Pelodiscus sinensis: one gene and its partners. The protein of the gene in region 1 interacts with the protein of each later gene in a pairwise test. Links are inferred from orthologs where the notes say so. Each region holds a gene or a part of one and is shown on either strand. Other genes may lie near its edges. The genes, in order: KEAP1, MAD2L1, ETF1 and WDR83.

Evidence for each region.
Region 2: the proteins of KEAP1 (region 1) and MAD2L1 interact in binary tests that used the Homo sapiens proteins (3 or more experiments, as listed by UniProt). The two-hybrid records come from large-scale screens. The link is inferred for Pelodiscus sinensis from reciprocal best matches to the Homo sapiens genes KEAP1 and MAD2L1.
Region 3: the proteins of KEAP1 (region 1) and ETF1 interact in binary tests that used the Homo sapiens proteins (3 or more experiments, as listed by UniProt). The two-hybrid records come from large-scale screens. The link is inferred for Pelodiscus sinensis from reciprocal best matches to the Homo sapiens genes KEAP1 and ETF1.
Region 4: the proteins of KEAP1 (region 1) and WDR83 interact in binary tests that used the Homo sapiens proteins (3 or more experiments, as listed by UniProt). The two-hybrid records come from large-scale screens. The link is inferred for Pelodiscus sinensis from reciprocal best matches to the Homo sapiens genes KEAP1 and WDR83.

The regions. Positions count from the first base shown.
Region 1 is NW_027465991.1:323,333-330,190, reverse strand, and holds the start of KEAP1 (kelch-like ECH-associated protein 1), read left to right. Parts: upstream 1-3,856; 5' UTR 3,857-3,895; coding exon 3,896-4,012; intron 4,013-6,471; coding exon 6,472-6,858. UniProt on the Homo sapiens protein: Substrate-specific adapter of a BCR (BTB-CUL3-RBX1) E3 ubiquitin ligase complex that regulates the response to oxidative stress by targeting NFE2L2/NRF2 for ubiquitination.
Region 2 is NC_134715.1:36,054,717-36,062,272, reverse strand, and holds the start of MAD2L1 (mitotic spindle assembly checkpoint protein MAD2A), read left to right. Parts: upstream 1-4,556; 5' UTR 4,557-4,704; coding exon 4,705-4,777; intron 4,778-4,978; coding exon 4,979-5,125; intron 5,126-6,143; coding exon 6,144-6,264; intron 6,265-7,131; coding exon 7,132-7,235; intron 7,236-7,556. UniProt on the Homo sapiens protein: Component of the spindle-assembly checkpoint that prevents the onset of anaphase until all chromosomes are properly aligned at the metaphase plate.
Region 3 is NC_134727.1:4,050,323-4,057,409, forward strand, and holds the start of ETF1 (eukaryotic peptide chain release factor subunit 1), read left to right. Parts: upstream 1-4,071; 5' UTR 4,072-4,226; intron 4,227-4,301; 5' UTR 4,302-4,323; coding exon 4,324-4,409; intron 4,410-7,087. UniProt on the Homo sapiens protein: Component of the eRF1-eRF3-GTP ternary complex, a ternary complex that mediates translation termination in response to the termination codons. The eRF1-eRF3-GTP complex binds to a stop codon in the ribosomal A-site.
Region 4 is NC_134729.1:13,375,591-13,383,048, forward strand, and holds the start of WDR83 (WD repeat domain-containing protein 83), read right to left. Parts: upstream 3,008-7,458; 5' UTR 2,594-3,007; exon of another isoform or gene 2,578-2,593; intron 2,468-2,577; 5' UTR 2,445-2,467; coding exon 2,342-2,444; intron 1,511-2,341; coding exon 1,390-1,510; intron 1,080-1,389; coding exon 974-1,079; intron 520-973; coding exon 471-519; intron 363-470; coding exon 236-362; intron 1-235. Other genes in the region: WDR83OS (PAT complex subunit Asterix), read left to right, coding at 3,301-3,350, 3,738-3,843, 5,037-5,134, 6,607-6,673. UniProt on the Homo sapiens protein: Molecular scaffold protein for various multimeric protein complexes. Acts as a module in the assembly of a multicomponent scaffold for the ERK pathway, linking ERK responses to specific agonists.

The DNA of each region.
Region 1 (6,858 bases):
CTCAGGCAGCAAAAGGGAAAACCCCCAAACAGCGGGGGGGGGGGTCCCGAGGTCTGTGACCTGCTTGAAAATCCCACCAGCATGCCAAGGCTGCCCTCCACGCTGCCACTGTGTGTGGAGAAGGGGGGGGCCTGCAAAGGACCTTAACGTTTTCTGCTGAAAAACCTCCCTGAAGTCACAGATTCCCGGGGCCTGTTGCTGCCACCCCCCAAATGCAAAAGCCCCTTTGAGAACCCAGGAAGATACACTTGGAAATTTCTTCCTGTGGGGCTCATTGAGCTCTTGGAGCCTGAAACCCCCTATAATTGTCCTTAATGCGGGGGGGGGGGGAACCTTTTCTAGGTCAGTGACCCACAGAAAAATCAGTCAGGCCCAGGCTTGTAGATTTTGTGCGCTCCAGCCCCACAGGGGGGAACGGGGCAAGGGGGCCGCCCCGAGCCTCCAGGGCTGGATCCGGGCAAGCCTTAGGCCCCCCCCACCCCATAGCTGACCTTTCAGTCACAGATCCGCCGGCCTTCTAGGGCGCAGGAATCAGCCCCCGGCGTTAAAACGGGGATTTCAGGATCAAATGAAAGACGCTCCTTGGTCGCGGGGCGTTAGAGCAGCCAGAACCAAACCAGAGTCACGCCCCCGACTTGCTTCCCTGGGACTTGGCTTGGAGAGTTCGAGCAGAGCGGGGGTCCAGGGAGTGGACCCAGAGAGACCCAGCAGAGCCCACCATAAAAACAACCTGATGGCGTCCGACTGGCTCGTCCCTGCTCTACTCGCTGCCTGGTGCTTAGAGACTCAGCCCTTCCCTAGACCCGGATGTCTCTGGATCCGGCTCCCTGGCTTGGCCCCTGGCCCAGCTCTGCTTACACAGACTGGACCAGGTCGCTGCTTCCCATTCAAAAACCTGCGCTCTGCTCCCATTGGTTGGCCGGCTTCCTGCTTCCCGGTGTCCCAGAGCCTCTCTAGGCCCCGCTCTCTGTGGTTTGAACCCTCCAGGCAATTCCATGAACAGGAGGGCCGAAAGGGCCCCTCCCGGCCAACACCTTCTGCCCCACGTCAGGCCTCCCTCTGCCCTGGCAGTGTTCAAACCTTCCGGGAAAAGCCAGACACAGGTGCTGAGCTCTGGGGTTCCTGCCCTCCGGCCTTGCTCCTGCAACAAGGGAGTTTTTCCTGTTCCCACGGGGGTGGGGGGGCAGCGGGTCCTTGGGCATCCCAGCGGCTGGGGGTGAGGCACGGTCCCAGGCATTAGCAGGCGCTCTGGGGTGCCGACAGCAGGGGGCCGCAGCTGGAACCCCCGTACTCCAGAGGCTCCAGGCCAGAGGGGCGCAGCTGCTGCAGCCACCTGGCGGCTGGGACAGGTGCTCACGGGGTTGCCCCTGGGGATTAGCAGAGGTGCCCTGGGGGGCTCCCAGGTGATTTCTAGCACAGAGACCTTCTCAGCGGCAAGTGTGAAAATCCAAGTCACGTGCCTTCTGCGTCACCCAGCCAGAAAGCATCGCATGGAACCCTGGCTCCCGGCGACCCCCTCCCCTCCCAGAGCTGGGCGAGAACCCAGGAGTCCTGCGTCCCAGCAAAGCACCAGGCCCGGCGAGTGGGACCCAGCTGAGAGGCGCTGGAAGGGGGGACTAGGGAGGGGAGATTGGGAGAGCTACATTCGCGCACTTGGAGCCAGGCGGCAGCTGGGGGTGGGGCACAAACCACTCAGAGCTGAGAGTTAGAGGGATCCACTTGGGGGGGCTGAAGGGGGGAGCCTGGGGGCAAGCTCAGGGAGACACAGAAGAGCAGAGCCAAGGCAGGGCCTGGAGCTGAGTGCCCTGCCAGTGATTCCCTGGCTCCTGAGCTACACCCCCCCATGCGGGAAACGGCCGCCCAGGGCAGCACTTGGCGCAGGAACCAGGGCTGAGCCCTGTGTGAACACCAAATGTGTCTCCACCTCCGATCCATGATTGTGGGGCCTGACGCCGGGGTGCAAAGACGCCCAGGCAGGAGCCTGGGAAACACCTGGTACGAGTGTTGTACTTAAAAGAAGCACTCGGGATCTTTTTCAGAGGGACAAGGCAACACGCCACATTTACTGATCACACATAGAATAATCAACACTTATCATATGGACATGATACATATATGTCACTCACACACACACACACACACACACACACACACACTCTCCGTCTTGCTGTTGTTACCAACGAGTTGCTCCCCTTAACTTCACTGGCCAGGTGAGTTAGATGGGGGAGGGGTGGAGCCGGGCTTCTGCTGATCCGGATCGATGCTCCGATGGTGACTAGACGAAACCCGGGGTCCTCTGCAAGACACCTCACTTTTATAGCAGCTTCCCTCTTATGCAAATAGATCCCAGATTCAAACTCTGGGTCTGTGTCCCTTGGTCCCTTTGTGGGTGTTGTCTGTTCAGAGAGGGTGTTTTCCAAAGAGGGTGCTTGCTTCTAATCCCCAAGGCGGTGGATATGTCTGCTTGGGTCTGGCTTCCACCCCCTCTTCAACTGGGGTAGCTCTCTGGAGGGGCTGGGCTCCCAAGTCTTACTCATTCACACCTCGTTCATTCAACAGGGCAACTGATTGGGGGGGGGGGGAGTAGGGGGAAAATCTTATTCTACTCCTAGCAAATGACATTTTTACCACTTTAACTGTAGATTCAGTTTTCTACGTCGGGTTCTAATACAAAGTGACACGGTTCTATGGAGAGGCACATGCCAAGTCACATGCCGCAATATACAATACACAGATTTATCTACACGAGTGCCACCTCTGCACCTGTCCCCGAGGGGGGCGCTGTCTCCACTGCAGCCCTGTTGTGATGCAGCCACTTCTGGGGTGGGTGAGGAGACGGTTTTACAGGGATTCCTCGCCCCAGTTGAGATGCAGCTGCCATGGGCCGTGGTGGAAGGGCCCAGATGGCGGAGGGTCGCTCTCAGAACACGCAGCCCCAGGAGCCTCTCTATGGCAGCTCAGTGGAGCAAGCTGGTGCCCACTGGGCCACAAAAGGGGCTGAGACCCTGCAAACTCATTGCACTTGGGCCTCCACACAGAGGCACAGGCCAGTCGCTGCTCCCCAGGGAGTCCTAGGAGCGCCTGGAGGCAGGGCACCTTCCCTGTCCGGTACAAAGTCCCGGAGCCTCTCCGGGCTGGGCAGGCGGAGGGCAAAGGGCAGCAGCCCCCCCTTGTTCTTTCATAGCACCCAGGGCTCCGTGGGCCCTGCCCCAGAGAGCTCAGGCAGCGAGGGGCCCCCAGAACTGAAAGGGACGGGGCAGGCTGAGAGAGGGGCCCCCCCAGAACTGAAAGGGACGGGGCAGGCTGAGAGAGGGGCCCCCCCAGAACTGAAAGGGACGGGGCAGGCTGAGAGAGGGGCCCCCCCAGAACTGAAAGGGACGGGGCAGGCTGAGAGAGGGCCCCCCCTTACTCCAGAGAGGGCCCCCCCAGAACTGAAAGGGACGGGGCAGGCTGAGAGAGGGGCCCCCCCAGAACTGAAAGGGACGGGGCAGGCTGAGAGAGGGGCCCCCCTTACCCCAGAGAGGGCCCCCCCTTACTCCAGAGAGGGCCCCCCCAGAACTGAAAGGGACGGGGCAGGCTGAGAGAGGGCCCCCCCCTTACCTTTGCTCCCCCTGCCCCAGCCTGCTTCCGTCCCAGCCACCCCGCCCCCCTTCTGTGCCTCCCCCAGGCTCTGCCCCTAATCTCCCCCAGTCATCCCGCGCCCCCCATTCATCCTCTGCAGCGCCCCCCCGCGCCCTAATTCTGCCCCCAGGCCGGAGCGGATGCGCCGCTTCCCCGCCGCGTTCTCGAACCCGAACGCTGGGGCCGCCGCGTTCCATCCGGCCGGGGACTGGGGGGGGGGGCGGGTGGAAACCAGGGGACTCTTATTCTGACAGCGGCCGCGCTCTGCTTAGTCATGGTGACTCCCCCCCCGCGCCGCTCCCTCCCCCCAGCCCTGCCTGCGCCATGGAGGAGCCGAGCCGGGCCCAGCCGGGACGAGCGGGCGAACCAGGAGGGCCGGGGCCATGTCTGGGTTAGTGACCCCCCCGGAGAGAGGGGATCCCCGCCCCCCCCCGGGCTTGTGGGGAACCCGCCCCCGGGCTCCGGGGACCTGCTGCACAAGCCCCCCCCCCAGGTGCTCTCACTAGCTGGGCCCTCCCGGAACTGTCAGGGACCCCCCGAAGTGGGGGGTAGGGCCCTGGAGTGGATGAATTGTGGGGGCGCCATTGAGTTGGAAGCGGGAGGAAGGAAAACGGGGGGGGGGGGTTGCGGCCGAGCCCCCCCCCCCCGGCCCATGTGGCGCTTTGTCTGGGTCGCTTTAGTCAGCTGTTTGGGGGCTGGGGTGTATGGGGCGGGGGCGGGGGTTGTGCATGTGTAGCTCTCACGGGGGGTCACTGCCCTAGATCGGGGACCAGTACTCCCCCCCCCCCCCGGCCTTTCTGCTTATCGCTCCACCGGCCTGCCACGAGCCTGGATTGGGGGGTTATTCCTGGATTGGGGTCACCCCCCCCGCACACACGCGTCCGAGGAAGTCCCTGCGTGTGACAGCTGGGGGCGGGGGTGTCGCCGATTCGCTGGCTCTAGCGTCTTGGGGGGGAGCAGGCGGGACCCAGGCTTAGGGGCTGCTGGAACTGAGCTCCCCCTCGTAGGGACCTTGTTTAGAGCCCCCCATGCCCAGCTCCCTTGTCAGGCAGGCGGCGGGGGGGGCAGCGGGCTCTGGTCAATGTTTTCCATTTCTGGCTGCATCCCTGAAATTGCAACACGTCCCCGGATGGGCCACCCACTGGCCTCCTTCACCCCAGCCCCCCCCCCCCTTGGTGGCTGCAGGATGGATAGCTCCCTGGTGAGGGCTGTCCTGGCATCAGGGAGGGGGTGCTCTAGCAGGGCGGGGATACAGAGTCATGTTGTTCCTCGCCCTCCCCAACTTGTAACTTTAGGCAAGCTCCTTCCCCTGGCTGTGCCTCAGTTTCCCCATCTATGCAATGGCATCATGGTACTGTGGTAATTAGGGGGGTGAGGGAGGTGCCCGCTGCCCTCTGCTGAATAGCATCAGAACAGCTCAGCTGTGTCATAGGCCCTGCACTGATAACACCTATGGGGAGTTCCTAGAGAGGGAGCATGAGCCCTGCTGAGCAGGCGGGCGGGGCAGGGTGCTCCCCTGGTCTGTGAGCTGCATGGGGCCCAGGACGCGGAGGCTGGGTGGCAGGACGAGTTCAGGCAGCCGGCAGGGCAGAGCTGGGCTGGGCCAGGGATTTTCTGGATCTGTCCCTGGCCTCCGGGCTCAGGAGCTGCGCTCACAGCAGACGCTGCATGAGCCCAGGTGCCCGCGTGGTGTGGGCACTGGGCTGGGACTCAGGACACCCGGGGTTCCCTCCCTGGTTCCGACACCTGGGGCCGCCAGACTGCGGCCTCTTTGGGGCAGAGACTGGGCGTGCCTGGCCCGGCGGGTGCCCCCCAGCTGTGACCCAGGCCCTATGGCCCTAGGACATGTCTGTTTCTAGGGCAGGGGTCTCCAGCTTTTAAAGCACGAGATCACTTTTAGAATTGAAGTGTAATCCAGGATCCACCTCAAACCCAAACTCCCTGACCCCGCCCCTTTCCCAAGGCCCCGCCCTGCTCCCTCCCCCGTCCTCACTCACTTTTATCAGGCTGGGGGCAGGGATTTGGGGGGCAGGGGTTCAGAGCTGGCTCCAGCTGGGCACTGGGGGGTGGTGCAGGGGGCCAAGGCAGGCTCTCCCCTCCCCTGGCCCTGCACCACTCCCAAAAGCAGCCAGCAAACTCCCTCCAACCCTGCCCCCCTCTGCTCTGTGGAGCTGGGGTACAGGGTGGGGGGAGGGACAGCCTGACATCAGCACCCCCTCCTCTTCCCGTGCCCTGCGCAGTGAGCAGGAGGCTCCCAGGGGTGGGGGCAGCTCCAAGGCAGAGGGCAGGAGCAGCACGGCCGTGCTGGGTGCCGGCACTTGACAGCCTCCCTACCAAACCTCTCAGGATCCAGCGGGGGCCACCTGGGGGATTGTTGGGGGCCGGGGGCCTGCTGGGGGAACGGGGCTGCATGGGGGAGATGCTGGGGGCAGAACAGGGGGCCGCCTGGGGGGCTTGTTGGGGGCTGGGGGGACTGCTGGGGGAACGGGGCTGCATGGGGGGACGCTGGGGACTTGTGGGGGGCTGGCAGGGTTGGGGGGGCTGCACGGAGGGTAGCCGGGGGTGAGCTCTGACCCTGAGGACCCTTTCCCCAACCCCGCTGATTTGAGGCTCAGTCCCCGTGTCCTTGGCTGTGCCTGGCCTCCGCGCTCCAGTCCTTGGCCTACCTCCGAGCGGGGCCCTCGTTAGCAGTGATTCTGCCTCGTTAACGCTGGAGCCAGCCCCCAGGAATGGAGCCGGGGCTGGGGGGGTGGCCCCCCCGGCCTGGCCCGCTGGGGGCTGCGGCAGCCCAGTGGGGAGAGACCCCCGCGCTCCCAGCCGGGCCCCCTCCTAAGCCCGTCTCCCCCGCAGGTGTGGCTTTGCTGCGGTGCCCCCGGGCTCAGTAAGGTGCCCCCCGGCGGCCTAGCCCCTCCCCCCGCGGCGATGTACGCGCCGGAGTGCAAGGCGGAGGTGACGCCGTCGCCTCACGGGCAGGGCACCTTCAGCTACACCCTGGAGGAGCACACCAAGCAGGCCTTCGGCATCATGAACCAGCTGCGGCTCAGCCAGCAGCTCTGCGACGTCACCCTGCGGGTGCGCTACCAGGACGCCCCCCCGGCCGACTTCCAGGCCCACAAGGTGGTGCTGGCCTCCTCCAGCCCCGTCTTCAAGGCCATGTTCACCACGGGGCTGCGGGAGCAGGCCATGGAGGTGGTGCCCATCGAGGGCATCCACCCCAGGGTGATGGAGCGGCTCATC
Region 2 (7,556 bases), on another chromosome or scaffold:
CAATGGAAGTGCAAATGGAGGATACCGCTGTACCACAGGACTCCTCATCTTCCTATCCCGATGAGGCCTTAACAGCCCCAGCCCCATCTTTGCCGTCAATGGATGCAAGGGCCCATCAGGACCTCCTACGAAGGCTGGCGAAGAATTTGGCAGTAAAGGTAGAGTAGGTCCAGGAGGATACAGATCCCGTGGTTGACATCCTCTCCACTGCAACCCCGGGCAGGGTGGCCTTGCCCCTGATAAAAACGGTGGATAAGTTGGCCAAGCCCCTCTGGCTGACACCGGCCTCCGTCCCGCCCACCCAGAAGGGGGTGGAGAGACAATACTTTGTTCCTCAAGATGGGCATGACTTTTGGTTTTCCCACCCACCCCCGAGTTCCTTGGTTGTTCAGGCAGCAGGACAAAAGGAAAGACAGGGTCCCCCCGGGTCAACCTCTAAAGCCAGGGACCCAAAAAAATTGGACCTCCTGGGACGTAAGCCTATTCCACATAAGGCTATGCTGGGACACTATGCGTATAATACTTGGTCCGCTATGGACAAATTTTGGGACCATTTGCCACAGGAAGACCGCCAAGAGTTTAGGACCCTGGCAGACGAAGGCAGGACGGTGGCCCGTATGGTCTTTCAGGCGGCTTTAGACGTAGCTGATTCAGCTGCATGGACAATGGCACCAGTTGTTATGCGATGGACTGTATGGCTAAACGTGTCGGGCATTCCACCCGATGTGCAAACCTCCCTTCAGGACTTGCCCTTTGAAGGAGCGGATCTTTTTTCATATCAAACGGACTCCAAACTGCATAGTCTGAATGATTCCCGGGCAACTCTTAAGTCTCTGGGAATCCATACGCCCGGTCCACTTAGGCGACCCCTCAACCCCAAGCCTGCTACAAGGCAATTTCAGCGGGGTTTTACCTATGACCGCAGCAGAAGGCAGGGCCGTAATTTTTTTTAGAAATAACCCGCCTACAAACCGGCGCAGAGCTTCTAGACCAACTTAAGATAAGGGCCCCACTACGTATGCGGGTCAGTGCCCCAAATCACCATTTTGAGGGCACGATCGAGGATAGCATACCAGTCACGTCTTCTTCCCCCCCCTTTGGTTTTCATTTATCCCGTTTCCACCAAGCCTGGGTATCTATAACATCAGACCAGTGGATTCTCAGCCTGGTGGCATGGGGCTATTCTATCCCCTTTACTTCCCCTCTGCCCCCATCTCCTCCCCACTCCCCTTCCTCCCTTTTCAGGGACCCCCCTCTCACAAAACACTGCTGAGGGAGGAGGTGGTGAAGCTCCTGAATCTCGGGGCAGTGGAGCCCGTCCCGGACGAGTTATGGGGGAGGGGGTTTTACTCCCATTATTTCCTTGCACCAAAGGCAAAAGGGGGATTTCATCCTATTCTAGACCTCAGAGGACTAAATACATTTATAAAGAAGACAATGTTCAAAATGGTCACTCTAGCATCAATTATTCCCTCCCTACAAAAAGGAGACTGGTTTGCTGCCCTCGATTTGAAATTTGCATATTTCCACGTCATGGTGTTGCCCTCCCACAGGAAGTTCTTGCGGTTCACAGTAGCCCAGGACCACTTTCAGTTTACAGTCCTACCCTTCGGACTCACCACAGCGCCAAGGGTCTTTACCAAATGTATGGTCCCGGTGGCAGCTGCATTGAGACGCCACGGGGTATAAGTCTTCCCTTACCTGGATGACTGGTTGATTCGTGGCTCATCTCAGGACCAGGTAGCCACACACGTTTCCAGGAGCCTATTCCTGCAGTTGGGCCTTATACTGAACAAGGAGGAGTCCATGATGGTCCCCTCCCAGACTATAGAGTTTGTAGCAACGTTCCTGGATTCCACCACAGGAACAGCATCCTTGCCCATGCACAGGTTCCAGACTATGCAGGCAATGATCAGGGACCTTCACATTTTTCCAATGACCACCACGCGCAACTGCATGCGCCTGTTTATTTAAGAAGTACTAATAATCTTTAACTCAAAATAGAAATATGAGACCAACTGCCTCATACTGCAAAACTACCAATATTAAAAACTCGAGTTTTATTATTATTTTTCATTGTTTTTTCCTAGGTTGATGGGACCCTCAGATAACTGGAATTTTTAGATAACCGGAACACCCTAATCCCCGATGAGCGTGCCAGATAACACAGGTTTTACTGTATTCCAAGCCACTCAGTAGGAAGCTAGATAGGCCTCCCTTCCTCACTCTCAAATAGCAGATGATTCAGTATCTTACTTGGACTTTACTTCAAGGCAAATTCCTTATTCAGATAAGACAATTTGGCATCAGACTATGTGATTTGAGGGAGGTTGGGATGAGCAACACAGTGTATTGGGATGAGCAACACATCCCCCTTCGCTGGCCTTTCTGATGACATACATTGGGACAAATATCTATTTGTCTCAAACCAAGATATGTATAGGACACAGTCCAAACAATTCTAGAATAAACACACCATTTCCCAGAGGTTACCTAACTGCTCCAGTAGGTGCTGATTTTAGGGATGTAAAAACCCATTAAAATAGTTAACTGATTAAACAATTAAAATTACAGTGCTTAAACAATTAATCATTGCATCACAGGTGACACCTGTTGCAGCCTTCATGAATAGGGTCCTGCCGGTTGAGCTACTATGCCACAGGGGTGGAATGTGGGGCTGTTCCTGTCCACTGTGCAGAGGGTGGGTGTGCTGCAGGCAGGGGGGCTGCTCCGGCCCATCCTGCAATGGCTGTGGGCAGAGGGCTTCTCCGGACCACTCTGCTTCAGCTAGGGTCCAGCCAGCCTATTGCAGCCACAGGCAGAGTCCAGCTGTGGTCCTGCTGTGGGCAAAGGGCTGCTCTGGACAGGCCATTTATGCAGTTACTGGGTAAGCAGGTCGATAAGACTACTGCTTCTTTTTCTGAACCCATTTTTTCTGCTGCTTCTTTTTCTGAACCAATTTTTCCCCATATGGGGAAGCTGTACGTTCACTGTATTCCAACAGGATTGAAGACATGTTCCTTAATTTTCTTGCCCTTTTAACAGCTGTACTTTTACTTTTCCTCTATGGAAACAAATTATGAATCTTGCATATAAAAAAGGGGACGAACTGAATGTATTCTGGCTGTACTGTAAAGTGACAATTACAGAACCCAGTGACAGGCACTTGGGAGATGGAAAGAGACCTATTGTTTCCTCTAATGCAGCTTGTAGCTATGAGCCTTGTGCAGCCCACAGGGGTTTATATGTATGGCCCATGAGAAATTGTGTTTACAGCTGCCCATGCACAGGGTTGCTAGATTCCAGTGGTATGTGTGCATCACTTTTTTCCTATTGGTATTACTGAAGTGGCATACACATAAAGGGCACATAAAATGATGTTTGTGCTTATTGCACACAGCATTGACTAGAGAGCTGTGCACTCCCTTTGCATCCAGTCAAAGTGCTGCTATAAATTATAAATTAGGTCATCCCACAAATTCTAAGTACACAAGTGCAGATAGCAAATCTACCCTATTCCAAGGGACCATCTTGGTAAAACAATCTTGCAACCCACTCAGATGAATGAGCATCACTCATGCAATCCGCTCACTAGCTTAGGTTGCCCAGCACTGTTTTAATCCATCCCCGAAGGACCAATAATATTGTTAACATTTGCATTTAGAACATTTAAGGTTTGGAAGTTGCCAGGAACAGCCCCTCCACCATCACTTTCCTTTAATCTCCTTCTATAGCCCAATACATGTCCCTCTAAAGAAATTCAACCCCACCAGCCTGAGTGGTCTGCTCATTTTCATTGCACATTTGCATTACTGCCAATTGCACCGTCTTCTCTATGCCGAACAGCTCCTTTCCCCCCTCCAGCGGATAAAACTTTTCAACCACGTGTAGACTGCATGGACTGAAACACCAGGAAGAAATAAAGGCATCCCAGCCACAGCATGGTGTTGAATCTCTGCCCATCCTAATAGCTATTGGTGGACCTGTCCTGCGGGAACCTTTCTTGAGCGGTAACAGCTAATTGACACACCGAGGTTTTGCAGGCATCGTTGAGATTGTTTTCCAGCTGCGTTACTTTTCATTTACCGTACAGCCTCAGCTGGCTGGCTCTGACACACACACACACTCCCATAAACTGGAAAGCCGCCCTTAATTTCAATTCCTGGGGAAAACACCGGCCCCAGCGCCGGGGATCACACGTTAGGCGGCAGCTGCCCGCGCTTAACGTTTGCTTTGAGAAACATGGGGGATTCCCCGGGGTGGGGAGGGACTCGAGTCCCAGCCCCCCCCCCCCCAGCACGCGCAGGGGATTGCAGCCGTGCAGGGTCCGGGCGTGTTTGCACTTTCGAACCTCCGCGTCCCTCGCGGTGTAGCGCACGGCCCGCTCGGGGGGGGGGGGGGGGCGGGGAGTCAGGGCACGCGCTGCCCCTTCCCACACAGCTGGTCGGCGCGGCGCCCCCGCGAACGCTCAGGTCCCAGCGCAACCCCGACCGCTTCGCCAAGCCCGCCAAGACAGAAAGTTACTGCGCCTGCGCCCAAGGGCGGCGGTTCCGGGAGGGAGGAGCGGCGGCGCTTGCGGGAAGTGCCGCCATTGGGCAGCGCCTGTGCTTCGGCGCGAACGCTCGGGGCGGCGCGCGCCTATGAGGCGGCGCGCGGGCAGCGCCTGATTTGAAGCGGGCGGCGGGGACGCGGTACCGCCGCGCCATGGCCAAGCAGCTGAGCCGGGAGCAGGGCATCACCCTGCGGGGCAGCGCCGAGATCGTGGCCGAGTTCTTCTGTGAGTCGGCGGCCGGGCGGCTCCGGGCCGCCGCACTGGGGGCGATGAACCGAGCGCGGGGGGAGGGAGCCTGGGGGCCGCGGAGGGGCCTGGGGGCCGCGTCTCTGCCGAGCGCTCCGCTTTGTGTAACGGGGCGGGATGCCGGGGGCGGGCTCTCTACTCGGGGAGTCCCGTGACGAAGCCGCCTCTCCTGCCTTTCAGCTTTCGGCATCAACAGCATTTTGTACCAGCGCGGGGTCTACCCCTCGGAGACCTTCACGCGCGTGCAGAAGTACGGGCTCACCCTGCTGGTAACCACAGACCCGGACCTGAAAAACTACCTCAACAACGTGGTGGAGCAGCTGAAAGGTAGCGCAGAGCCAAGCCACCGAAATGGGCGCTCGCTTTGATCTCCTGTATCTTCGGCGCCTGGCATAGGTCAAAGCTGTCACGAGTCTCGAGTGCGACATGCATAGGAACTGTGTGATAGTCCATGTTTGTTTATATTTACCCATCCTATTTATATATGTTGGGGAGAGTCTTATTTTGGGAGACCTGGAGAGGGTCCAGCGTAGGGCAACCAAAATGATTAGGGGGCTGGAGCATATGACTTATGAGGAGAGGCTGAGGGAGTTGGGTCTGTTTAGTCTGCAGAAGAGAAGAGTGAGGGGGGATTTGATAGCAGCCTTCCAACTTCCTGAAGAGAGGTTCCAAAGAGGATGGAGAGAGGCTGTTCTCAGTAGTGACAGATGGCAGAACAAGGAGCAATGGTCTCAAGTTGTGGTGGGAGAGGTCCAGTTGGATATTAGGAAAAACTATTTCACTAGGAGGGTGGTGAAGCACTGGAATGGGTTACCTAGGGAAGTAGTGGAATCTCCATCCCTAGAGGTGTTTAAGTCTCGGCTTGACAAAGCCCTGGCTGGGTTGATATAGTTGGGATTGGTCCTGTCTAGAGCAGGGGCTGGACTTGATGACCTTCTAGGTCTCTTCCAGCTCTATGGTTCTATGATTCTATCCAGTCCTCACTAAGGCAAAGTAGTTTCTTGCCCTTCAGTGCTCAAATGTGAATTTCTTAAACAGGTTACATTCTCTTAGTATGTATGTTCAGCTTGCCTATTTACATAGCCAATGTCTGTTGTGTTTTTATATTTCTGAATTCGCTATTTAGTTGTGAAGTGAACGTATACTTTAAGGTTTGTCACTAACTTATTTAGGATGTTGACTCCACATTAACAGCTTTTCCACAGTGAAACTACTAGTGCAGATAGTAATGTGAGATTTAATGACAGCTCTCTTTTTTTTTATATATATATATGTGTGTGTGTGTGTGTAGTAGAGTGATCTCCGTTATCTGACTGTAGGGAAATTTTTATTTTTCTTATTTCAGATTGGTTATACAAATGTTCAGTACAACGGCTGGTTGTAGTGATCTCTAGCATTGAAAGCAGTGAGGTTCTTGAAAGGTGGCAGTTTGATATTGAATGTGACAAGACTGCAAAGGATGAAAGGTAATGCACTCAAAATTACACTTGGGCCCATGAATGCTAAATATACTATTTATATATTTTTGTCAGTTTCTAAGGTGCTACAAGACCATTGTTTGTTTGTTTTTTTCAAAATTACACTGTTATAAATCCTTCCTGTTGGTTCATGCTAGTAGTCGATTAGATGCGAGTGTTAAAGGCCCTTTGTATTTATAGGCTGTGCTGCAACATTTAAAAAACACTCAGGTGCAGAGAGAATACACCAGAGCAGAAATCTTTCACAGCATTGTATAGTTTTCAGTTTGCTGGTAATTAACTAGTGTGCTTCATTCTAAATCAAATGAAAAACTTTTGATCTCAGCTGAATATATAACTCCCATTTACTTTAAAAGAAGCTGTATATGAAAGATAGAATTTTCCCCCTTTTTTAAAAAAATTTATTGTATAAAGCTGTTATTTTCTTCAGCAACTATTTCAGACTTCAAGGTAGTATTGATTGCTACTATTCTCCTAAATTTCTCATATTGAGAAGCAATTACTTTGGTAGCAGTATTATCCCATAAACCAGTTCTCAAGGAAATCAAGACAGAGGCTGGTAGTCTTAACATTGTGAGGTCTCATGGAAGAACAATGAATCAAAATCATAAGCTGTCATTTTGGTTATATTTTTCCAAACCTTGATCATCCACTTTGTATTTCACTACATAGTATTTGTCCATTTGAGAGAGGGGGGGGGAGCGCGGGGGGTGTGTGTGTGTGTGTGAAGGAAAATTGTCTCTATTGTATAGCAAGAACAGCTTTTAAACAATTTAATGAAGAGATGTAGATACAGAGAAATTTTCTGTTATAACAAAAGCTTTTTTCTATATTGACAACTTATTACTCATGTAGTGTACCAAGAGAGAAATCTCAGAAAGCTATCCAGGAGGAAATTCGATCTGTTATCAGACAAATAACTGCCACTGTAACATTTCTTCCTTTGCTGGAAACAGCCTGTGAGTATTCCAGACTTTTGTGTGATTAATGGAACACTAACAACTCTAGAAGAAAATGTCTTTTAAACTTGAATTGGAACTTTAATCTAAAGGAGACAGCTACCTTTTTAACTATGAACGGTATACTGTTCATGCAGACTTGAATGACAAATCTATATCAAAATGAAGGATTTAAAAAAAGACACCTAATCACGTCCATTTCTTCTGCAATTTTGTAAAACATTCTGGCTACATCTACACTGCAGGCTTTTTGCATGAGAACTGTTTTGCGCATGAGCATGTCCACGCTGCCATGTGCTTTTGCGCAAGAGCATCCATGGC
Region 3 (7,087 bases), on another chromosome or scaffold:
AAGCCCATTACTCCTTGTCCTGTCCTCAGAAACCAAGAGGAACAAATTTTCGCCTTCCTCCTTGTGACACCCTTTTAGATATTTGAAAACCGCTATCATGTCCCCCCTTAATCTTCTTTTTTCCAAACTAAACAAGCCCAGTTCATGAATGTCAATCTTCACGCCATTTACCCCCTCTGCGCCCGCCTGTGGGTACCGGAGAGCAATGTGTGAGCACGGGCTTTGGGCCTAGCTCTGCGGGCTGCTCCGCACTGACACAAAAAGGTGAATTTTTCCATTGAGTTAGCAGGATACTATTGATCCCCTCCCGCCCCAGCTGTTTAACACCTTTCAGATCCTTGGAGCTGGTTGGGTCGTAACCTAGCTAACAATCGTTTTGTGGACAGGACGGGGGGGAGGGGACGTTGCACTGATTTCACTCTGCGTCGTTAAAGAAACACACACCCAGTCACTAGAGCAGCCCTGAGTAACCCGCGTGTCGTAGTTCTGAGATCCTCAGCTCACAGGCAACACCAAGTTCTTGTAGTTCCACCCAGAATGCCCAAGAGGGGCTCGTAGCAATGGCTGAGCTCAGCCGCATGTTGGCGACGGCTCGCGAGCCTCCTGCATGGCTCTAAAAGGTCCCTTGAGACACGCTTGGCTGCAGCGTCCAGTTCCGTCCCTCTTCGAGGCCTGGTGCTGGGTGTGCGACCGGCCAGGGACCACTTTTGCATGGGGCTCTCACCCATGGAAATATGCAGATCTCTGGGGGAGAGGGGTAATGCCCGGGCAAGCTGCTGACATCTCACATCTCAAGCATGTGCCCCATCTATCTGCGGGCATTGTCTGCGCTCCATGCCCACCTGGCAGACATTGACCATAAGCCCGGCACACCCGCAGCTCGGGCAGTGGTGCAGGCAGCCTGCTAGTGAGCAATGGGACGTGCAGCTGACAGTCTCCGAGTTGCTCACACCTTGTGACAGCCAGGGCGGGCTTTAACAAGCGTGGGGCCTGATTCGCGCATGCGCTGTGTGCCCAGGGCGGGGCCCGATTCCGGGGAATCGCCACCCGGCCCTGGTGACGGCTGTCGCAGGCCCTTCAGGGTGGCTTTGAACAAGTTAGCAGAAATCTCTTGTTTTTCCGAGCCACTGAACCTTGCCCCTGGCTCCCATTTGAAGCGCATGGCTTGAAATGAGTCTTGTGTCCAGGTCTGGGCACCATATTTCAGGCAAGATGTGGAGAAATTGCAGAGGGTCCAGAGAAGAGCAGCAAAAATGATGAAAAGTCTAGAGAACATGAGCTCTGAGGGAGGACTGAAGGAATTGGGCTTGTTTAGTTTGGAAAGGAGAAGACTGAGAAGGGACATGATAGCAGTTTCCAGTTACCTAAAAGGGTGTCACAGGGAGGAGGGGGTGAAAATGGTTTTCCTTGGCCTCTGAGGACAGGACAAGACGCAATGGGGCTTAAACTGCAGCAAGGGAGGTTTAGGTTGGACATTAGGAAAAACTTCCTACCTGTCAGGGTGGTTAAACACTGGAATAAATTGCCTAGGGAGGTTGTGGAATCTCCATCTCTGGAGATATTTAAGAGCAGGTTGGACAGACACCTGTCAAGGATGATCTAGACGGTGCTTGGTCCTGCCGGGGGGGGCAGGGGACTGGACTTGATAACCTCCCGAGGTCCCTTCCATAGTGTTCTATGATTCTAAGCCGCTGCCACGAAAAACGGGATGGGAGTTACAAGGGAATTTTGAGAGTTAGGCTGTTTCTCACTCAGTTCTCCCTGGGGATTCCAAGGCTAACTGAAATCCAGGGCTTCTGGGAGCCGTAGCGGGAAGCGAGGAATAAACACTCACTGAGCGCTGAGATTGCAATGGTGTAGTGTAGCGTAACAATGGATGTGGACAAAGCAGATTGTGTAGTGCCGGGTTGGGACTCACACCAGCGCTCTTTACTGGGTCAGCTAGCAATGGTGCAGTTATCCAGGCAGACACAACCTGATTCGTGCCAGGTTATGCAGTTTATCTCAGGTAAAGGGACTGACGCATTTCCTGACTCCCAGTTCAGTGTCTTAACTGCAAGACCAAGTTTTCTTTTGCTCTGCTCATTCACTTAAACATGAGGTCCCATCCTGGACAGGGACACTTTGACTAGAGCAGCCTTTTGCTGGTCACGCAGGGCGTGCTTTGGTTGGAATATGCAGCTGGAAAATATAGGCCTTGCTCTGTATATCATTTACTCTAGCAATGGAGATGAAATACTGGATAGGGTTCTTTGACCAGTGGGATACAGTGTCTAACTGGTATCGTAATAATTCCTCCTGGCCTTAATGAGGCTGTGGTGCCAGATAATGGTTTTCTAGTGAGCGTGTAGCCATTTTGACATAGGAAACTACGTCCCCGTCAAGTCACAGCTACTATCAGGCAAGCGTCCCCTTTCTAGCTAGTCGCCAAGTCTCAGTAACTGAGGATACGTCTAGACTACAGGCTTTTGTCGACAGAAGTTTTATTGACAGATATGACAGTGTAGATGCAATAACGCCTTCTGTCAACAGAACTCTGTCAACAGAAGGCGTTATTCCTCGTAGAATGAGTTTTACAGCCATCGACAAAACTGCTGAGTTCTGTTGACGTTATGTTGACAGAACTCAGTGGCAGTGTAGACCCAGGGATAGTTTTGTCGACCAAAGTCCACTTTTGTCAACCAAACCCTGTAGTCTAGACACACCCTGAGTGCCAAAGGGTGAGGGTAGCTGTGCGACACACTCTGGTGGATGTTTATGAGAACGGCCATACTGGGTGGGAGCAATGGTCCATCGACCCCAGTATCCTCTCTTCCAACCAGGCCCGCCTATGAGGGAGTGGTATGAGGACAGGGGGCAACTGCCCCAGGTCTGGTGATTCAAAAGGGCCTTGGGCCCTGTAAATTGGGCCCTGGAAGGCTCTGGGCAACTCTGAGGGTCCCCAGGCCTGCCCCTTCCACCCAATGCCTCACCCTTTCCAGCAGCACAGAGCTGTCTGTCGGCCCCCCTGCTTATGACAGTGGCTGACGCCAGGTGCTTCTGAGAGAATGAACAGAACAGGTGACCGCTGATCCATGCCACCGTCCACTACTAACTTCTGGCAACTAGAGGCGAGACCCACCCAGAGCATGGGGTTACATCCCGGGGTGAAAGGAACTTAACATTTCTTAGAGGTACAACCCGGAGCCCTGCCAGCTTTCTCAATAGCTCCCTGCTGGTTTTTGCCAGAGCTCAGCCAGTTCTTGCCGGAGTGGCGCCAGCGCTGACTTTCCCCTCTGCTTGCCTCCCTGCCCCCCGGGGGGACGTGGCTCCCGCTGTGGGGGGCTGTCGTGCCAGGCAGGCAGACAAGGAGCCCTGAGCGCTGCGCCGGGCGGGTACGCGGGAGGCGCCAGGGAGCGGCACTGCAGGCCTGTGCCCGCGCCAGCGCGGTTCTGCGGTGGGGGCGGCGTGTACAAGGGGGGCCGGGGGGGCCCAGCTCCCCCAAGCTCCGGAGACGCCTCACGCCCGCTGGCTCCCACTGGGCCCCCGGGGTCCCTGCGCTAGGCTGGGCGCACGGGGAGCCCTGCTAGGCAGCGGGTCCTGCTCAGCCCCAGCCGGGGGGGCTCCAGCGGGGTGGGGCAGGATCGGGCCCTGCTGCCCCCAGGAGGGGCGGGGGGGGCATAACCCGGGGGGAGGGGCACGGCTGCCGCGCCCTGGCTTTGCTGCCCGCCACGTGGGCAGCGCCCCGCCCTGGCCCGCCAACAGGTCCCTCCCGCGCCAGCTGACGCCTCCCCCCCTCCCACGTGCGCCTTCCCCTTTAAGAGCCAGCGCTTGGCCTGACGCGGCATTGCTGAGACATCGCGAGAGCCAGGCCTTCCCGTCTGCGTCCCTCCCGGCGGGGGGGAACTACACACCCCGACAGGCGCCGCGCGCGGGGCGGAGGCTGGCCTGAGCTGTCCAGCCAATAGCGACGGGGAGCGCGCGGCCCGGCGGCGCCAGCCAATGGCGGCGAGCGAAGGGAAAGGCGCCGATTGGCGGAGCCGGAGGGGGTCCCGCCCCCCTCGCCTCTCCTCCCCGCCCTCTCCGGGGTCCCTCGGAAGTGATGTCACAGGCCCCATGTGAGCGGATTGCAACACATGCAGCGCGGAGAGGGGGAGAGAAGCCGGTTTCCGACGTCAGAGCCGCCGCGAGCCGCCCCCGCCGCCGCGCAGGGAGGAGCCGCCGCCGCCGGGGGGACAGCGCCTGAGGTGAGCGGCGGGCGCGCGGGGGGGCGCGCGGGGGGCCGGGCCGGGACTAACGGCTGTCTGTCCCCCGGCGCGCAGGGAGGAGGCGGAGCAGCAGAAGATGGCGGACGACCCCAGCGCTGCCGACCGGAACGTGGAGATCTGGAAGATCAAGAAGCTCATCAAGAGCCTGGAGGCGGCGCGCGGGTGAGCAGCGGCCGGGAGGAGGGGGGGGCGAGGCCCGGCCCGGCCCTGGGCCCCCGAGCGGCAGGGCCGCGGGGGGGGGGATCCTCGCGTGTCGGGGCTGCGGGCGGGCGGGCCCCGCTCGCCCCTTCCCCCCCCCCCCTCCGGCCCCGCGCCTCACGGGCACCCGGCTCCCGCTGGGGCACGCGGCTCGCTGCCCTGCCCGGAGCCGGCACCTGCCCCGCGGCTCCACCCAGACACCAGCTCGGTGACACCGGGGGGGAAGGCGGGGCCGGGGGCTGCGATGCTCACCTCACACCGGTAGCGCCTGGATCCCTTGGAGCTGCCCGAGCGGGCGTCGCCTGGAACGTGAGCTGGGCCCCTGGCCCTGGGGCGCTAAGCCCCTGGCCCTGGGGACAGTGGCAGTGGCCATGTGCTCTGCGTTTTGGTCAGCCCTGGGTGGAGACGAAGCTCCTGAAACCCGGCGTCTTCTCCGCCCCGCCGAGCGCGGGGGGACCGTGAGGTTTGCTAGTGAAGTTGCCATTCGTACCCACGCGCCGCGCCATCACTGACCGTGGGTTCCAGCCCCGGGCGCTGGAAGACACTTCCCTTTCCCCTTGCAGTTGTTCCAGTGTCACCAGCTGGGGAGAGAGTGCGGGGGCCTTGGGCTTTCTTTAGCAGGCTCTGATAATCTGTCTGAACAGGCTGTGGAAACAAAGCAGGTGCCTTGGGTGTTTCAGTTGATTTCAGCTGAAAATAAAACTCTTTGTGGTAAAGGCTGGAGTATTTTAAATGCAAACAAGTGGGGCCGGGAGGGAGAGTGAAGTGTTCCCTGTAGAGGCACAACGATAAGTCGAATTACAAAAGCGAAGCATGGAATTGATTTTTTTTTTAACAGAGAAGTGCAGTGTCTCCCTTAAGGCACTACTGGGAGCCCAGGAAATGGGTTTGTGTTGCAGTTGGTAGGTCTGAGACTTAGTTCATTAAGCCAAAGCTCTCTAGAGCTGTGTGCCCATGGAATCACCGCAGGTCTGCTCTGTTTTTCAGCACTGAAGACTAACCCTGTGCAGCTAAGGGAAGTGGGGGATAATCTGAACACTGCCTTTTCCTGGTGGCTTCAGAGCACCTTGCTCAGCATTCCCGGGGTGCAGCCCTGCTCTTCAGTGGGGGTGGAGCGGGGGACTGCCCATGGCCCATTTGTCATGTCGGCATCTAGTCTGTGGAGTATTTCTAGGCTTGTTCAGATAGATCCTCACCCAGCATTAGGACTACCTTGGATGTAAGGGCAGGCTGGAGTAAAGGCGGCTCCTGCCTTGACTTTTGCTCAGATCTGCAGTGAGCGAGGTACAGCTTTATATGCTTATCCCATCAGTCACACCGCAGGTAGGGTCTTTCCTCTTTACTGTCATAGCTGAAAAAGTGAATGACTCCCTGGGAAAGAGCGAGAGCTCCTGACGTCCCCCAAAGCTGTCAGCAAGCCCTTCTCAAAAAATGTAGGGTCACTTGCTATTATAAGCTACTGAATCTGTTTTGCCCCAGGCCTTTCTCCGTAGTTTCTGCAGCAAGTTAGGTGCAAAAAAAAAAAAAAGGGAAATTGTGTGAAGCTTCTTGAACTCTGGCTTCTCAACATTGAGCCCGGCACCCCCTTTTTGACTCTCGATCTTACGGAGATGAGATGGGGGAGGTGATACCTTTTATTGGCCCAACACAGAGCTCTTCACAACTGTACCAATCTCATATGTTTCTGAGTGTTTTTTTTTTAATCATCCTGGGTTCATGTGACCAGTCACTATATTTTTGCTGAATATCCAGTCTGTCTTCCCCAGGAGCCTGAGCTATGTCTGTACTGCAGCCTGGAGCAAACCTCCTAGCCCAATGGGAGACACGCATGCTAGCTGGGCTCAAGCTAACACTGCTAAAAATAGCGGTGTAACTATTGTAGCCCAAGCAGCAGCTTGGATGCTGAAGCCACCCAAACCCCTGGGTCTGAACTCAGGCGGCTAGCCCAAGTCTCGGTTGCAGCAGCCACGCTGTTGTTTTTAGCACACCTGCATGGCTGCCAGAGCTCTGGGCGTTGGAGCTACTGGGCAGCTCATGAGAGAGAGCGTGTTTCTTTGAGTTCAAAGGCAGTAGGCAACTCAGCAGATGGGTGGTACAGGTGTGTGCTGGAGCATCCTGTTAAACGCTTGAGAAGTGAGCCACTCTGCTCTGGGGAGTTTGGCCACCATAAGCCTCAGGAAAAAGGCAGCCTGGAAATTAGCACAGTGAACGCGGTCAAGGAAAAGGATAACCGCCTCGAAATCAAGCGTTATTGTAAAGTACCGGCCGGTAGGCTAAGAGCACTAAGGGAAGCGGTGGCTGGAGGAGGAGGCTCTTGTATGTTGGCTAATGTATAGTAAAATCCTCACACAGACAAGGCAGCCTTAACTTGAAGTTGTGCTAGTAGCTGGTCAGGGAAACACTGGAGCCTAGGATTCACATAGCTCTGCCACACGTGGTAGAACTGCAGCGGCTGCGTTTTCATTAAGGTTTTAGTTTGGCTGCGCTGAAAAGTTGTTTTCACAGCTACATTGGTCAGGCACGGGGGAGGAGAGGGAGCACACCCTCACCCACACACCTACGCCAACAAACGCTCAAGTGCAGACGCAGTTGTGGTTGGCAGAAGGAGGCTTCTGTCGATGTAGCTAATGCTGTTCCTTCAC
Region 4 (7,458 bases), on another chromosome or scaffold:
AGGGCAGCGCCTAGGGATACAGGCAGCGGAGGGAGTCAAGCCCCTGAACCAGCTCCATTCCCACGTGTGGCACCCTGCAAAGGGCAAACCTGAGGCCACGTGTCTCTGATTGAGGGAATTCCTCTCCCAGCTCCGACAAGTCTTTGGTCTGAGCCTGGCTCCTCCAGCAGTTCTAACTCACACTGGGCTCTATAGCTCCCTTCAGCTCCCTTCCCCCAGTGGTGCCCCCCCTCACCCAGAGAGGATCTCGTGGTCCGACACTTTCAGGCTGGACACCCCGTCCTTGGCTTCGTCCAGGATCTGGATGGGCTCGGGTCTGCGTGAGCGGCAATCCCAGCACCGGATGCTAGAATCGATGGAGCCTAGGAGGGAGCACAGAGCGGAGGGAGAGTAACAGCCTGGCCAAGGCCCTCGCTGGGCCTAGCCCCCGGCTAGCGAGTCAGCTGGGGCACCTGAGCCGGTTTGCTCACCTGACAGGATCACAGTGGCCTCCTCGTTGAACTGCACACAGTTCACCTTCTGTGGGTGGAGAGAGGGGGTGGGCAGACAGCCGGGGCTGAGTAGAGTCGCAGCTGCAGCATGGGGCCCTGCACTTGCTGGGCCGTCCCCCAAGCAATTGCCCCAGCTCATCAGCATCTCCCCCTCCCATGCCACACCAACACTGCCCCCATCCCATCCCCTGCAGCTGCCCTCTACAAGCAACTCAACCCTGCTGCTTCACCACCCTGCAATGCTCACACACCCCTCTAGGCAGTCCCCCCTCGATTCAGTCCCTGGCTGGGAGCAAGGACCCTCCCAGGACTGGTGTAGTAAGCGAGGGAGCATCCAGCTGCACTGTGGCTTGTGCCGAGTCCCAGTGGGACAGGGAGAGGGCAGCTGGGCCCTTCCCCAACACGTAGCCGGCTGGCTGGCTGATGGGAACATGCATCGACCCCCAACCCAGGCAGCACAGCCATAACCAAACGGGCCTCACCCCAGCGTGGCCTCGGAACTTGCGGATCACCTGCCCAGTGGCCACATCCCACAGGACAACCGTTTTGTCAGCCCCGCAGGAGCAGAGCTGGCTGTTATCGAAGGAGCTGTGGGGGAAACAGGAAGACAAGGTTAGGCTCTACCATGGGGAGCTGGCCGTGCAGGGAGGCTTTGCATCTCTTTGGCATGTCGGTGTAGTTGTGCCTGTTTTACAGATGGGGAAACTGAGGCACCAAAGGGGGAGGTGCCACACAGCAAATCAGTGACAGAACACAACCCAGGAGTCCTCACTCCGCCTCTGCCATTAACCCCTTCCTCCCCCCACTCTAACCACTTCCAAACCAAACACTCTAAAGTGGTTTCACTCCTGAAATCCTGCCGGTTATGAGAGAAGTGGAGTCCACCCCCTGCCCTTACCCAGCCGCGTCCAACACTTCATAGCCATGGCCGCTGTAGGTCTTCAGGACGGTCCCCTTGTGGGGGTTCCACAGCTTCAAGGACTTATCGCTGCCACAGGTGAGACAGTAATTTCCATCCACTGTGGGAGATGGGACAAAGAACGATGCACAAGGACCATGTAAGAGCACAGCTGCCAGTGTCTGCCCCACATCCAGCATTTCCACCCCACACCTGCACTCTCCTCTCTGATGTCCACTCCCTCTGCATGGCTCCTTGCTAGCCAAACTCCTTCATGCATGCTCATCCGCTGTCCCCAAGCTCCCCAAAATGATGGGAGAACCTAAGAGCAGACCTACGCAGGGACACAGACTCCCCTCATTCCCACCAGGACACAATAGGCAACATCCTAACAGCGTAGGCCAGGGCTACTCCATACGCAGCCCGTGGTGCAGTTGGGGTTTACACGGGGCTCAACACACGGCCCACGGGTGGGATCCTTTGAACGTGGCCTCCACTGGGAACACATTCCAAACGGCGAGGCGTCTCCCAGGTGGGGTGAGCAGTGAAAGATGCAAGTGGACGGGCTGGCTGGAACAGACAGGTACAGGGTGCCAGTGTTTCTAGCCCCCAGGGAGGAGGTGTCGGGAGCGCCGGGGCACTGTGTGAAAGAAGCTGCGTGAAGCCCCATATATTTGCATGTACATTAAACTACATTTAAGTTGCGGCCCTCGGCATGTGCTGTGAGTATCATTGTGGCCCCTGGGGCTTTAAAGTTGAGTAGCCTTGGCCTAAGCTCTTGACATATGCTGGCAACAATGGGTCTCTAAATAGCCTTCACTGCGCTGACTTACTGCTCTAACCACTAGACCCCGCTCCCAGAACTGGGAACAGAACCCAAGAGTCCTGGCTCCCATTCCAATCTCGTAGTCCCCACTCTTTCATTTTATGGGACCCGTGAGGATGTGCTCACCATTAAATCGCACTGCCCTGACTGCTCCCTGTTTGCACTCCAGAGTCTGCACCAGCTTCTTTGGCAGCTCTGTCTTCTGGGGCTTCGGTTCAGGAAACGCCATGATGGGACCCAAGCGGCTGGGACCTGTGGCAATTCCCACGGGGGTAAATCTGGGAGAGCTGGACTCCGTTCGCGTGGGGTTGGTGACGCGACTCAACTGGGGCAGGCTGGGGGAGGGGTTACAAATTTCTCACCAGACTCCGGCCTTACAGGTGTCTCCCTGGGAGCAGGACTCACTCGCTCGGGGAAGCAGACGGTTCCGTCCTGGCTTAGGAAACAACCGGAAGGTGATTTTGTGGCTGTTGCTGCCACAGGAGGCAGGGCCAAAGGGGAAATCCAACCCCCTTTATATTTAGGGCCTGGCTAGGTTTGCAGGGTGGCCAGAGGTCACCCTCTGAAGACCCAGGGAGCCATAAGGGGCTTCACACATTTCCAGTCTCCTAGAGCCACCCCCTATAGAACGGTGCCCACTGTCCTTCAACCCCCTATGGCCTCTCCCCAGCCTGGCACCTATAGAGCCCCCTATAGCCACCCCAGGTCCTTCCAACCCCTACAGCCTATTACGGCCTCAATCATCCCAGAGCTTCCCCCGCCCCTATGGCCCCTCTTGCTTCCTCCCCCCACGTTGGTACCCGGGAAGAAGCCGGAAATTCCGCGTCCGGCTCCTATTCCCGTCCCCCGGCCCGCAGGTTCCGGCTCCCTTGGTTCCGCCCCGCCATGTCCCGCCTCCCCTGAGCAGGGACCCGCCGCGGGGTGTGTGTGTGTGTGTGGGGGGGGGATTCGCTGTCAGCCCCGGCTCGCCCCCTCCCCGCGTGGGGGCCGGCTCGGGACTCGGCTCGCGCCGCTCAGGGGTTTAACCGGAACCATCGCTTCGGGCCGGGGCGTGTTACACCGAACCGCGCCCCCCGCGCGAGCCAATGTCCAGCAACAGCATGGCGGACCCGCGCCGGCCCAACAAGGTGCTGAGGTGAGGGGGGGGGGGGGTTGAGCGATCGCTGCGGGGCGCCCCCCCCCCCCGGGGGAGCGGTCTGATCGCGGTGCCCAGCTGCGGGGGGGGGGGCAGTTGTCGGGTTCCCTGGCGCGTGGCCCGGAGGAGGGAAGCGGAGACCCCGGTCCCCCCCCCCCCCATGGCGGCCACGCCCCGCTCCCTCCCTCCGGCCTGGTCAGCGGAGGCGGGAGGCTCCGCATCTCACTGCCTGATTGTGCCCCAGATGAGACCCCCCCCCCCGCTGATTCCTGACCCCCCCCACCCCCCCGAGCTAGGGCTGGGCAGATCCCTGGTCCGCTGGGTGCTCCCGCGGGTGACCGGGGCTGAGTTAACGCTCCCTTCTCTCTGTCCTGACGCGCTGTGTAGGTACAAGCCGCCAACCACGGAGAACAACCCCACGCTGGAAGACCCCACTCCCGATTACATGAACCTGCTGGGGATGATTTTCAGCATGTGCGGCTTAATGCTGAAGGTGAGCAGGAAAGGAACGAGCGTCAGATCTGGGGCGGGCGCGGTGCCTTCTTGGCAAAGCAAACCCGAGCCACGTTACTCCTTATTACAAAGAACATTTGTGCCGCTGGGCACTGCAGCGCTGCCTTGACTCACAGCGCCTGTTCCCTGAACCAAGCGGCTGCTTTCACAGACTCCAAGAAAGATTGCAGAGCAGAAAGGGACTTCTAGACGCTACCTAGAATGTATCTGTGTTGTGCCAAAAAACCCTTGGCACCGAGCGAGAGCAATTGGCTCAACTGCAGGGCTACAAATAGTAGTGATTTCAACTGTTTCTGGCCAGTGGGAGCTGTGGCAATTGTGCTGGCTGTGGGAACAGTGCATGAAGTCTTCCCCCACTCCCATAAGGGGTGTGGCACAGAGAGACACATGAACCCAGCAGCCAGACACTTGGAGTGGCCTGGGACTACCATAGGCAGGGGGGACTTTGCCTGAGGGTCCTGGCAGATTGTGGCTGGATCCAAAGGCTTGGTGGGCCAGATTCAGCCATGAGCTGTATTTTGCCTGCGCCTGATCTTAAAAACCTCCAGTGAGAGGGATTCCACAGTCTTCCAAGATTAAATGACTTGGGAGATGGAAGGGGGAGGGGCTAAGCAACCTGTGGACTGCTGACCCCCTGGTCGTTTGCCTCAGTACTGCAGGGGGTCTGTGGAAAGTTTAAAAATAAAGGGCATTTCCTTTTCTTTCTTTTCCTGCCGCAGGGAGGGGGTTCCATGACATTTTAATAGATTGAAAAGGGGTCCATATGCTCAAAAAGGTTGGGAATCACTAGTCTAAGCCATTGCACTGAAACTGGGTGGAAAGAGGAGGGTTCGTTACTTCTAGTCCTGGCTGAGTGTGTAATGAGTAGAAAAGGAACTGGGAGTCAAGGCTCTTGTGGTCTCTTCCTGGCTGGGGGAGGGACTGTGGCCTAATGGTTAAATCAAGGGATTGGGAGTCAGGACACTGAAGTCCAACTCTAAGCTCTTGCTGCATGAGTCTGTGCAATGGTACTGGCTCTAACTCGCTTCCCAAGGGAGCAGGAACTGGGAACTTTGTCTAGTGAATGTTTGAAGAGTTTGGATGCTTGCCTGGTGCGGTTAGATAGTGAAGATATGGAGAGATCCGGTGAGGGCCCCCTTGGCAGCTCTCAGATGAGTTCCTCTGTGTTTCTAGCTGAAGTGGTGCGCTTGGATTGCCGTCTATTGCTCCTTCATTAGCTTTGCCAACTCCAGAAGCTCAGAGGACACCAAACAGATGATGAGCAGCTTCATGTGAGTCGTTGTCTTCCTTTGGCTTCTCATTCGTTGCCCATGGGAGTGGAAGATGCGTGTCCAAATGTGCCCACTTGCCTGTGCAGGGGCGATGGGTGGGGGAGCATAGATGTGTGCGTGTGTCATGGGCGCTAAACGCCCTTGGCGGAAAGACCTGGCCAGCCACTGATGGGGTGGCAAGTGGGGGGAGGGGGAGGGCCTGGTGCTGGCAGCAGGAGTTGCCCCTCCTCTCCCCCTCCAGCCACACTCACTGGCAGCAGGGGCCCCAGCTTGCTTTGCTCTCCTGGTGTGCTGCTCTGTGGAGGGGTGGCGGGACTGCCCCTGTACTCCCCAGCAGGAAATGGAGTGATGTGGCCAGGAGAGCCAAGTGAGCTAGAGCCTCCTTACTCCACTTCTCCTGCCATTGCCAGTGAGTGGGGGGGCGGGCGGGGCAGGGCAGTACAGACTCCTGTTGCTGGCACCTGACCCCCTGCCCCACTAGTCCCCTGTGCCGCCTCGGTTGGGGGAAGAGATGGGGAAGAAGTGGGGGAGGGCAGAGCAGGGGCAGGGCCTGGGGTATAGGGGGGTTGCCCTGCCACTTCCCCGGGCTGGGGAGGGTCATGTAGCTAGCACCCCCCACCAGTCCCTCCTCACCAGTGGCTGCTGCGTTGTGGTTTGAGCAGAGCTGTAGAAGCCGAACTTTTGGGGTCTGGGCCTAACTCTGCCCCTAATCCTGCATGATTTGTACTTTGACACTTTCCTGCTGCCTTGGTTTCTCCATCTGTGAAAGGGGGATAAATGGTGTGGTGATTAGTTCGGAGCCCTTGTTATCCGAGTGAGCAGCGAGCCAGTGCCCCCGCATGGTGCTTGGGAAGAGAGGCTGCTCTGTGGGAGACGCCAGGTTAGAATGAGATTCCGAACCAAAGTCTTGATCATTCTTGGATATTAAATTTCACGGCATCTTTTCCTAAAAGCTGAGCTGCGGGTGCATATCCTGACCAATCCCAACTCTGGTACCCACAGTCCTTTTCCTTAAACACCTGCCCTGCAGTTTTCCTTGAATGGAAGATTTTTCATCTCCTCTGAAATACTGGTGCAGAGTTTGATGCTAGGCAACGGCTGCCTTGCCCTGGAGAGACGGCTCCATTTCTGTGTGGTGAGCAAGCCGCATGCAGGGTCAGCAATGCAAACCAGGGAATCGTTCGCTGACATGCTGGTGCTGTATGAGACCTAGACATGAAGGGGGATGTTGAAATTAGGGATGTAAAATTCCATTTAAAATATTAACTTCTTAAACTGTTAACTGGCCTCTTGTGTTGTGTTGTGAGTTAGGGGTGCTGTTCCGGCTAGGCTGGGCACTGGTTGACTGGTTATCCCAGGAATCATGCTTACCTGGTAACCATGTAACCCTTTACATCCCTAATTGAAATAATAAATAAAACCTCCTGGTTGGTTTATTTTTAACATTATTCATTTTTTTCCTCTGGCTTCAGGTTGTCTATATCTGCTGTGGTGATGTCCTACCTACAGAACCCCCAGCCCATGTCCCCGCCATGGTGAGGAGATTACAGCTCCCTGAAAATCGCAACGAGAAACTGTCAGGGGAGAGGAAGGGCCCACAGGCTATAACCATCCGTGTGTATGAACACTGTGTTGAAACACTTGGGGATCTAAATAAACGGGTGGTTGCTGTAGGAGCTTTGATTCAAAAATAACCTCTGTGTGTGTGGAATGGGGCCTTTCAACTCTCTGTCTCCAGTTTCAGGAGCGGCTTAAGGTATTTACCACGTAACTGATATTTTGTGGTTCTTAGTCCCGTTTCCAAGGACCTGCATTGTAAATAAAACAACGAGGAGTCGATGGCACCTTAAAGACTAACACATTCATTTGGGCAGCAGCGTTCCTACGCTGGAACCCACTTTGTCAGTTGTATCTATGAATTTGTTAGTCTTTAAGGGGCCCCAGGTTGCCTTGATTTGCAGAAATAGGCTCACCTGGTGACCCCTCTGAAAACTGTAAAAGTAATTCACTCTGATCGGCGCTAACTGACTTGTTGACAGGACAGAGGACGAGTGTGGAATGAGTCACAAAGGTCTGGTCGACACTTGCACGGTTTTGCACTAAAAATCAGCCTTTTTCAATAAACACCTGAGGCGGTCACACGGACAAGCCTCGTTTTGGGTCCAGACCCCTCAGTCATAACGAGGTCATAAAGCCACTTCCCAGAGTCATCAGGGGTTTGGTGCTGAGGCCTTACTGTTGGCCTGCCGGTGTGGACACCTAGATCGCTGTAATTGGCCTCCGGAGGTGTCCCACAGTGCCTTGAGCGACCACTGCACTCACTG